3 linked regions of the Caenorhabditis elegans genome follow. The protein of the gene in region 1 interacts with the protein of each later gene in a pairwise test. Each region holds a gene or a part of one and is shown in the gene's direction. Other genes may lie near its edges.

Region 1 (3,755 bases):
AGGAGCTTCAACATCGTTCAACGAGGAAGCCGTTTTCATGCCGTACCTCAATGATCCTGTTCAATTCCGTAAAAAAAAATTTCGTCTTATTGCAAAGGAGCACAACTTCGATGGAATTCTTGAGGTGTTACTTATTTTTTAATTTTAAAAAATTAAACTTCGTGAGAGGACCCTCGCTGAATTGGGAGCCCCCTCGTGGAGCGAAAGTATCAAACCGTTGTGAAACTCTTCGATCGTGCCACGTTGCTCGGTAGCATGATCAGAAGGACGCCGAGAAGAAGTGATAGGATAAGGAGACGACTGCCAAGAAGATCAAGCCATGCTTGTTCTTTCTAATAATGTTCTTTATATTTCGTTCCTGTTCAGATTTCTTATTCCCCCCTCCCCATTCGGTTAATGTTCTTCTCTCTCTTTTCCTTGTTCAGCATATCTACTAAGTATCCCTCTCTGACGAGTTTTATATTGGTTTTCGAGACAATGAATGTTTTAAACGTTATATTGATGTTATTAAATGTGTTATTCAGTCAATCGGAAGAAAAACTAGATAAAAACAAACTATTCAGCTGAAATTCATCGAAAAAAGAGGAAATTTTCGGTTTTTCTCAGAAAATCAGTGGAAACATAATGAGAAACATAAAATATGCACTTTTTTATTTTTTAAATTACTATTCTCTATCACAAAACATTTTTTTTCGACTTTTATTCGCTTAAATAATGAGAAAAGCGCTTTTAGCCAGAGCTGATATTGACGAATTGTCGTCAAATAAAATGCGCGTACGCAAAGTACGCAATAGTGTACAAAACTTATTCGCGTTGAATATTCAGTCAGCCAAATGGGACTACTGTAGAAATTTCTTCAGCCACGTTAGCTTTGCCTCCCCGTGTTTCGGGGAAATTTCCAATATGATTTGCGCGTAAGATATGATGCATGTACGCAAATACCGAGATTTATTGCACAATATTGTGCGCGCTACGCAGAAATGGCGCGAAACTCGTAGAATGCTCATTCTTGCAACCTGCGATCTATCAAATTTCGCCCCTCCACTGGTTTTGATGTTCTACGTTTGCACTTTTCGGACAATTTTTCAATTCAAAATTAAAAAAAAGGAGACCCGAAGAACTCGGGGGATGTCCAATTGGGGGGATTACCAACTCGGGAGTTTGGCCCCGCCCACAGAACCGTGGCTTGCAATACGCCCATTTCTGCAACTGCCGCACGGTTTTAAAATTATTTTTTCTTGTTAATTCTCGCTCTATTGAGAAAAATACAGTTTTAAAACCGTGCGGCAGTTGCAGAAATGGGCGTATTGCAAGCCACGGTTCTGTGGGCGGGGCCAATCCCCCGAGTTGGTAATCCCCCCAATTGGACATCCCCCGAGTTCTTCGGGTCTCAAAAAAAGTACACTTTCTCCTTCATTCCTTGAGGAATTTGTATCACAAGTAGTTAATTATTACTGATTTCCCAGCTCGCACATTGTTTTTACTACTGATACGTATTTACTCTTTTTACTCTTCTGTCTGAAAAAAAAAGCGAAAAACACACTCTTTTCAACTGCGTCTCTTTCAGAATTACTCTCCATCGTCGCCAGACACTGGTTGCCTGGAATAGGTATTAGAGATTTTGCCGTTTATTTTTTTCTTTTTTTGTCAGTGCACTGGCCAATGTAATGCCAAAATTGCAAACAGTTCTCTATGCAAATATTAGTTTCTCGCTGACTCATTCCATCGATTTTTTATTTCGCAACACGCTACCATCATCATATTCCAAACATAAATCATCATCGGTTGTCGCCGAAAAGTTGCGAAAACTCGCTGAAAAAACCAGTAAATGTCGTGAAAATCACGTGAATCCTTTTAAAATTTGAACTTCCCGCCGTGTACAGTTTAAAGTGCGTGTGACGCAGCAAGTGCGCTCCGTTGAGAATCGTGCACTCGAGGCGTTTTTGTCCCAAAATTCAATATTTGTTGGCCTATTTTTCACATTTTCCGATAGGTTTTTTGTTGAAAATGCCAATTTTTATACTAAAAATCTATTTTCCTCAGCGATTCCGCGTATTCCCCAGGCGTTTATCTGCAAAACCGACTCGCTTTCATCTTTTTCCTTCTCAATTTTGAAATTTTTAGCACATATTCTGATTTTCAGGGTTCCCTACAATGGACGTCAATCAATTCACTGAGCTCATCACAAAACTGCAGTCAGCAGACAATGATATCCGAAAACAAGCTGAAGAAGTCTATGAAAAGATTGAAGGACCAACCAAAGTAGCTGCACTTTTCGAGGCCTACACACACCACACGAATAATTCTGATGTTAGTTCACTCAAATTCCTATATATTCCATGAATTTTCGATTTTCAGGCCAGATCCACAGTTTTGGTGTTTCTGCGACGAGTTCTCGCCAGAGACTGGGATGCGATTTGGGAAACGCTGAACGAGGAGAACAAACAGCGCATTCTCGCCAAAGTTCTCGAGATGATAGTTCACGAGACCGAACTCTCGATTAAGAAGAAGATTGCTGATTTGATCTCTGAAATCGCTTCAAACCTCATCGACGATTCTGGAGATATGACATGGGGAGGAGTCCTCGAGCTGATGGATCATTGTTTGAAGAGCGAGGATCTTACCGGAAACTACATAGCCCTGCTTATTCTTCGCGGATGCCCAATAATTTTTGGAAACAGGCTGGCCCACTTCCTTCCAACCCTCAAAGTTGTCTTGGAAAAGTGCATGGCTACACCGGATTTGCAAATCAAGGCCACCGCCGTCCGTGCTGTTATCGCTTTCGCTGTTGATAATGATGAGGAGAAGGATGTTGTCAGGCTTATGACCTCTCTTGTTCCAAATGTTCTTCAAGTTTGCAATGAAACCAGCGACGAGGATGATTCAGATGGACCACTCGGAGAGTTCGCCGAGCTCGCCTCTTCTCTGCCAAAATGCCTTAACACTCATATGTCTCAGGTTCTTCAAGTCACTCTTGCTGTAAGTAATTTAAATGGCCCAATTTAAAAATTTCATTTTTTCAAATTTCAGATTGCTGGAAACAAGGAAAAGAACGAGATGGTCCGTCAGAACGCCATCGAAGTTATTTGCTCGTACATGGAATCCGCACCAAAAGGACTCAAGAAATACGCACCAGGAGCTCTTGGACCAATTCTCGAGACTCTTCTTTCATGCATGACCGAAATGGATGACGATGTGCTCAATGAGTGGCTCAACGAGATCGAAGAGGAAGAAGACTATGAAGAGTAAGGATAAATTTTTAGTTTTTCTTCAATTAAATTATTTTTCAGTATCCCAATCATCGCCGAAAGCGCCATCGACCGTGTTGCTTGCTGCATCAACGGAAAAGTGATGCTCCCAGTGTTCCTTCCACTTGTCGAGAAGCTTTTGACCAGCGAAGACTGGAAGATGAAGCACGCGGCTCTTCGCGCGTTCTCCGCCGTCGGTGAAGGGTGCCAAAGATCTATGGAACCACACATAGAGCAAATTATGGCTCATATCACCAATTACGTCAATGATGCTCATCCAAGAGTTCAATACGCGGCTTGCAACGCCATCGGACAAATGTCTTCTGACTTCGCTCCAACTCTTCAGAAGAAGTGCCACGCCGCCGTCATACCAGCTCTTCTCGAGTCTCTTGACAGAACCGATGTTCCACGTGTCTGTGCTCATGCCGCTTCGGCTCTTGTCAACTTTGCCGAGGAGTGCCCAAAGAGCATCATTGGACAATATCTTCCATTCATTCTTCAGAAACT
Region 2 (3,755 bases), on another chromosome or scaffold:
CCGGCAAATTGTCGGATTTTGAATTTCCGGCAAATCGACGACAAATTGTCGGTATTGAAAATTTCCGGCAAATCGACAAATTGCCGGAATTGAAATTTCCGGCAAATCGACAAATAGCCGGAATTGAAATTTCCGACAAATCGGCAAATTGTCGGATTTGAAATTTCTTTCGGCAAAAACCGGCAAATTGTCGGATTTTGAATTTCCGGCAAGTCGCCATATTGCCGGAATAGAAACTTCCGGCAAATCGACAAATTGCCGGAATTAAAGTTTCCGGCAAATCGACAAATTGTCGGAATTGAAATTCCGGCAAATCGACGACAAATTGCCGGATTTGAAATTTCCGGCAAATCGACAAATTGCTGGAATTTGAATTTCCGGCAAAAACGGACAATTTGCCGAATTTGCCGAAAAAAAATTTGGCGAACCGTCCACCCCTGATTCGGTCATTTAAAGGCGCACACTGGTTTCAAAACAAATATTGTCGCGTCGAGACCCTTTTCGCTAAAATTAGATCTTGTTAGCTTCGAAGATACACTACTTGTCTCAACAAATTTACTTTCTTCAAACTGATCTACAAGGCCAAACTACGATCACTTTTTGTGTCGATCTTTCCTTCCGATCACATCATAGGACTACAGACAGCACTCTCTCCATTTCCCACACTATTTCTTGTCTGAGGAAATGCGGACAGCGTAAACAGAAAATTTCGTGTTTCTTTCTCTCTCGCTCTCTTCGTTATCAGCACTCTCTTCTCTGCTTCACTCTGGCGCCCTCTCCCACCCCATCGCCTAAAATTTTAAAGTGAGGAAGACCCCATTCGCTTCATTTCTGCCTTCGATTTCTGTAGTTTTTACTATTTTTGGAAGTCTAATTTGTTGGAAAAAAGTTGATTTCAATTAATAAATAGTACTTAACGTGAGTATTTCAAAATAGCCATGCAATGGAAGGAAAATCAGGAATTAAGCAAATGAATTGCACAGTTATATATAGTTATTAAAATTTTGCAAAAATAGATGTAAAATCTCCAAATTCCCACTTTTTTGTGCACAATTTGGAGGCTTAAGCTACGTGTTAACTTAGACAAGTTTTAGGCAGGTAGGCATCTAAAATTAGTAGCGAAATTGAAGGTTTCTGCTAAATTTGGCCTGTTTGAACAGTTTTTCATTTTTGATTGGTTCAAAAAATTGCCTGGGATTTTCTTGTTACGAACTATATTACCGATCCAGACAGAGAGAGAGAGCGTGTGTAGTCAATTGAAGAGACACAGACATCTCGGGACCCAAAGGGCGGTGCGCGGGGGAAGAGCCGATTTGTGTCGATTTACGGAGCGTTACTCTTAAAGGAGGACTAACGGTTCGAACAATTTTGAACGTATAGACCCAAAATGGACTCAAATGAACGAATTTCGTAATGAAACTTCTCAAAAAATTTTCAAAAATTTTTTATGGCGGTTCAAAATTTTGAAAAAATTGCACTGATTTTAGCTAAAATATCGAATTTTGCCCATTTTTCCGGGGTCGCAAAAATCAGTTCAGAACTCTGCGTCTAAATTTCCGCGATTCTCGTAGATCAAACCGATATGGGGCACTCTGACACCACGTGCACACTGTATTTATGTATTTATGACGGTTCAAATTTTAGCCAAATTTAGCTGAAATCTTCAATGTTGCCTCTAGGTACATTAGGCATCTAATTTTAAATGCCTACAGGCCTAAAATTTGCCTAACAGTTAACACGAGATAGGAACGCAAAATTGGAGGTTTTAGTTAGGTTTAGCTTTATTTTTTTGAAGTGTTACTCTTCCGTAAATCGACACAAATTGACTCTTTCCCGGGTCCCCAGATGCCTGTGTCTCTTCAACTGACTACACTCTTTCTGGATCGGTAATAGCTTAGCCTTTGTAGCATTCTCTGAAGTCCGATCCGATGACTCGTTCCGTTGTTTTTTTCCTGCAAATTTCCCAGTTGAAAATTCAATGCACACTTTTCAGAAAAGAAACTATCAAAAATGAACAATCAAAATAACAATTTCGTCGATTTCTCGGAAGATGATGATATGATGGATGCGGACTTTTTGGTAACTAGCCTTGAAAATGCGCCGCCTCATCCAATAACCGATTATTCGCAGGGAGTCGTCATACCGGATGACCTGATGAACGCTTCTCTTGAGTTTCAACGAACGGAGCCTTTTTCATTCATACCAGCCGAGGAGGATTTGGCTCCGATGGAGATTCTTCCGAATAATCAAGGGGATGTTGAAATGACGGCGGTGGATAAGAATCCGGATAAGGTATATTAAATAAGAGTTAGGCCCATGAATGCTTACCGGTTTCTAGGTATTGTTCGAACTTCGCGTCGAGACCCAAATTGAGCCAACTCTCAACTATATAAACGCGGAGAATGAGGCAGTTGAATGGGATATAAAGAGTTATTATGGTTAGTTGAATAACGGGTGTATAAATATAACGGATGTATAGTATTAATATATATATATATACAGTGCGTGCAACTTCTATAGCGCCCCCTATTTTTTTCGATTTTCAGTACTTTCCAAAATTTTTTTCGAAAAACGGTAAATGCCATTCGATTTTAAATGTCGAAAAACCCCCTTGTCGTAAATTGTCGTAAAAAACCCCTTGTCAAAAAATATGCGCTATAGAAGTTGCACGGTCGTTTTTAAGACTTTTTGACCTATAGTCCTCGCAGTGTTTGATATTTTTCGATAAAAATTTACGACAAGGGGTTTTTTGACATTTAAAATCAAATGGCATTCACCGTTTTTCGAGAAAAAAAAATTGGAAAGTACTGAAACTCGAAAATAATTGGAAGCGCGATAGAAGTTGTTCGCACTGTATATATATATATATATATATATATATATATATATATATATATATATATATATATATATATATATATATATATATATATATATACCAGCCGTGGCTTCTGGAGCTGACTTCTGGAGCTGAAAACCAATTTTTCTGAAACTACCGTAATCATACAGTACTCCTACCGTGCCACCATTGTACCACTACAGTACCCCAACTGCAGACTACAAAGACTACATAGACTACAAACTATGGACAAACGGAATAAGCGCTTTATATATAGTAAATGATAGTATTATATACTATAGTATTAATATATACATATATCATATATTATAGTATATATATATATATATATATATATATATATATATATAGTAATATATTATAGTATTAATATAGTATTAAAAAGTATGATATAAAAATCACCCGAAAATGGTGATAGGAGGAGTATAAGGGATGATTATCTCGAAAAATCATATATTTCTCTTGTCGGAAATAAATGTTAGCAACAGCAACATAAACATGATTCATACTTCCTTCGGAATTGCTAACACTTAAATTTTTTTCCCTGATCAATGACATTTATTACGATAAGCAGCATATGTGATCAATTAGCTGGTCAGCTATATAATTTATCATTAGGAATAATTGAAATTGAAAAACTTTAGAGCATTAATACTTTAGAGCATCACCGAAAAATCAGTTTTCAGTAATTTTTTTCCTAGTAAATTCGTAAAAATTTATTCCATTTTAAAGGCACATGATGTTTTTTCTGAGTGGGTCTCGTCACGATCTCTGTGCATGTGCAACATTTTTGGATATTAAAAGTTCGAAAGTGCACATATATAAAGCCAGGATTTATATGTATATGCGTGCCAGGCGTGGGCGGCAATAGGCAAATTGCCGGTTTGCCAATTTG
Region 3 (3,755 bases), about 14 Mb from region 1:
ATGACGGTGTTTATAATATTGAAGTCTCATTTCCATTGTAAGAATTCCTCCTAAACAAAAAACCATTAATTTTCTGCAGAAAACGCCTGAAAAACTCGGTCGGCTTCTCGCCAACGCCCAAAATGGTGCTTCACGACTATTGTGTGGAGACGAAGATCCCAAAAGCCACGTATGAGGTCGTAAAACGAGATGATAAGCGATTCGTGGCGACGGCGTGTATTGGTGACAAGAAATATCGATCAGGAATTGGACAACCGAATTTAAGAATGGCTGAGCAGGTCGCCGCGCTCGCAGCCTTACATGGAATGAATATTCGGAATCTTTTGGTTGGAAATTGGGAAGAAGAATGATGTTAAATTTGTTTTTTGCTATTTTTTTGTTAAATTATATTGAAAAATTGTTTGTTTTTGCTATAATTTGCATTTAAAATCGGTTTTATTCCATTAATTATCGAATCCCCACTGCGCGCGCGGGGATGGCAAAACGCCGTGCGGCAGTTGCAAATGGGCGGAGTTTGGAGAATTTAAAAAATATTCGAATTTATTTCGCAATTTTTAGAGATTTTCAGGCTTTTTTCAGAGTTTTCATGCGTAATTTTCACTTTAAAATGTTATTTAAGTGTGTAGGATTATAGAAATGTAATTTAATTCCGCAAATTTTGTTGAAAAACTTGGATTTTTGCAATTTTTGCAGATTTTTACATGATTTTCTTCTAATTCTCCTGTTTCAAGTCAATTTTCTCTCTAATTTTCCAAATTTTCAGGTAACAAAATGACTGACTACGGAGATGCTGATAAATACGTCAACGACGAATCGATCGAGATGGCTTGGGCGATCAAAGCCGGCGAACGGTCCGAAGTTCACATGAATCTGATAATGCGGTGTGACACTCGGGTTCTTCGGCTCAACAAGCATCAGGATGCGATTCTCGCCGCATTTCGAAGCTCATTCCCCGATTTGAATGTGGAGGAGGTGACGACGAGTTTGCTGAAAGACGGCGGAGCCAAGGAGACATGGCGCGAGTTTTGTGAGCAATTCAAGGATATCGTCGACGATTATTCAATGGGAACACTGATGAGAATTCATGCTTCGAAGGCTTACAGTCCGGAAAATACTGTGGTTGTTCCAAGAGTTAGTGGGACCCAAATTGGAAATTTTTGTGATTTTCAGCATGATTTGTAGCTAGAAATTGCAGTTTTTGCGTTTTTAGCCCAGTTTTTAGCTAGAAAACTCAGATTTTGTGATTTTCGGCATGATTTGTTGCTGGAAATTGCAGTTTTTAGCTTAAATTTTTGGGAAAACTTCAATTTCCAGCCAAAAACCCCTCATCCCTCATTTTCCCATACAAAATCGATCGATAATTAATTACAGATCATCTACCTGGCAATCGAGATGGCACGCAACGTGGAGGGTGTCAACGAGAAGAATAAGGAGGCATACACGGCTCACCGCAATTCGCTCGCCTCCTTGTAATAATTTCTCTCGTTTTTTTTTTTGAATTTTTGTTGATTTTTCCCCGTTTTCTCGTTTTCCACCCTGTCGTTTGTCTTGTAGTTTGCATATAAACCGATTTCTTCGTTTTTAAAAATGATTTATTTCCAATTTCTCGAGTTTTCCAGCTCTTTTTACTTATATTTTTGTTTATTTTTTTTCCAAAAATTGATTTTCAGATATTTTTCTCTAAGAAATGTCGATTTTGATGAATTTTTCTGTGCTAAAATTGACTTTTCAAAATTTTCTCATAGACACGTGGGATAAATGCCCTAAAACTCAATTTTAGCCTGAATAATTCGTGATTTTTGATAATTTTTCATCGGAAATCGAATGTTGGATGCTAAAAACGTTTCTTTGGCAATTTTCGAATCCCCACCGTTTTTTCTCCATTAAAATCTGGATAAGCATCTCAAAATTCATGAAAAATCACTTTTTCTGTTAAAAAGTGTTTTCTGTGATTTCTGAGCGAAATTGTCAAAAAAAAAAAGTGATTTTCGCTTCGAAAATTCGAATTCCCGAAGGAAAAACCATCAAAAACCTCTGTTTTTGAATAGAAAATGTCTAAAAATCAATAATTTCCCAATTTCTTTTCTTTCTTCTCCATAAAAATTTAATTTTCCAGAAATGTCGCTTTTCGGTACAAGTACCACGGCTCCAGCTGCTTCAACAACACCTCTTTTTGGCTCAACGGCTGCTGCTGCTCCAAAGCCTGGAGGCCTCTTCGGTGCGCCTGCTGCTGCCATGTCATCAGGGCTCTTTGGAGCATCTCAGACAGCTCCTGCACCAGCTTCTGCAGGACTTTTCGGCTCAACAACTGCTCCTACACCTGCTTCAACGTCTTCAGTTCCACTATTCGGTTCGACAACAACCACCGCATCACCATCTGGAGGACTTTTCGGAGCCAAGACAGCCACCACAGCAGCTCCCGCGCCGACTGGTGGGCTCTTTGGAGCATCAACGGCTGCTCCGGCGACTGGAAGTCTGTTCGGAAGTACTGCCCCGGCTACTGGAGGTCTTTTTGGCGCGAAATCGACCACATCGGCGGCTCCGACGTTGGTTTTAGAGCTTTCGATGCATCTAAAATTGAATTTTCAGGCTTGGAGGTGGACTTTTTGGATCGAGCACGGCTCCGGCGGCGGCGGCAACGACATCATTTGGAGCTCCACCAGCGACTGCAGCTGCTCCATGTTAGTATAGATGCTGGAGCTTCTTTTTTCTCTGTTTTCAGCACAAAAATTCCATTTTTTGCGAATTTTCAGCTCTAAAATGCTTTTTTAAATAGAAAATTGCCACTTTCAACTCCTTATTTGGAAATCCTATTTTTCGCCGAATTTCGACAAAATTTTAGTTATCAAAACTAGCGTTTTTAATCTGAAAATCGGACATTTTCAGCTCAAAAGTGTGTTTTTAATCGAATATAGTACGATTTTTATGTTCAACAACGCTAATTTTATAGAAAATTGGAAAATTTTCTAACAATACATCAAAAATCCTTATTTTCCTCCTATTTTTCAGCCAAAAATGCGTGAAAAATAAGCAATATCCATTTAAAAGCTTTATTTTGTCGATTTTTCTTCAAAAATTGGCGTTTTCCGGCAATTTGGCTATTTGCCGGTTTACCGATTTGCCGGAAAAAAATAAAATTCTAAAATTTCCAACATTAATGTGCAAAACCGCAATTTGCAGGAAGTTTTCGGCAATTGCCGCTTTTCCGGAAGATTCGGCAATTTGTCGGTTTGCCCATTTGCCAGAAATTTTCAATTTCGGCAATTTGTCGGTTTGCCGGAAATTTTCAATTCCGGCAAATTCGGCAATTTGCCGGAATTTTTCAATTTCGTCAAATTTGCCGGCTTGCCGATTTGCCGGAATTTTTCAATACCGGCAACTTGTCAATTTGTCGGTTTTCCCATTTTCCAGAAATTTTCAATTCCGGCAATTTGCCAATTTGCCGGAAAAAATCGTTTGCCGCCTTGAGATTGCGCAGCCTGAAAATCATTTTGTTTTTCAGTGGGTCTCGGCGGAATCCAGCAACAAAACAGCAGTGGTGGTGGGCTTCCAAATGCTTCAGGAACTGCCACGTCATCACTCACAGGCACCGGAGACTCAAAAGATGCCTCGAAAGACGGTGAATGGACACAAGCGGCCACTCTAATCAGAGATTTACTCCCATTGATCGAGGATAAATTCAAGAAAAATCGAGAATTTATGGAAGAAACCGAGAATATGTCAATTGACAACGTGGCAATCGAAGAACAAATCGA

The links.
Region 2: the proteins of imb-3 (region 1) and zip-1 interact in a two-hybrid assay, tested with the Caenorhabditis elegans proteins (one large-scale study listed by BioGRID).
Region 3: the proteins of imb-3 (region 1) and npp-4 interact in a two-hybrid assay, tested with the Caenorhabditis elegans proteins (one large-scale study listed by BioGRID).

The regions. Positions count from the first base shown.
Region 1 is NC_003279.8:313,378-317,132, reverse strand, and holds the start of imb-3 (Importin N-terminal domain-containing protein), read left to right. Parts: upstream 1-2,143; 5' UTR 2,144-2,154; coding exon 2,155-2,310; intron 2,311-2,358; coding exon 2,359-2,979; intron 2,980-3,030; coding exon 3,031-3,245; intron 3,246-3,290; coding exon 3,291-3,755.
Region 2 is NC_003281.10:12,334,914-12,338,668, forward strand, and holds the start of zip-1 (BZIP domain-containing protein), read left to right. Parts: upstream 1-1,993; 5' UTR 1,994-2,010; coding exon 2,011-2,292; intron 2,293-2,338; coding exon 2,339-2,438; intron 2,439-2,752; exon of another isoform or gene 2,753-2,879; intron 2,880-3,755.
Region 3 is NC_003279.8:14,704,884-14,708,638, reverse strand, and holds the start of npp-4 (Nucleoporin p58/p45), read left to right. Parts: upstream 1-2,116; 5' UTR 2,117-2,118; coding exon 2,119-2,546; intron 2,547-2,589; coding exon 2,590-2,681; intron 2,682-3,502; coding exon 3,503-3,755. Other genes in the region: dus-2 (DRBM domain-containing protein), read left to right, coding at 1-37, 80-350; Y54E5A.5 (Polysaccharide biosynthesis domain-containing protein), read left to right, coding at 772-1,131, 1,372-1,473.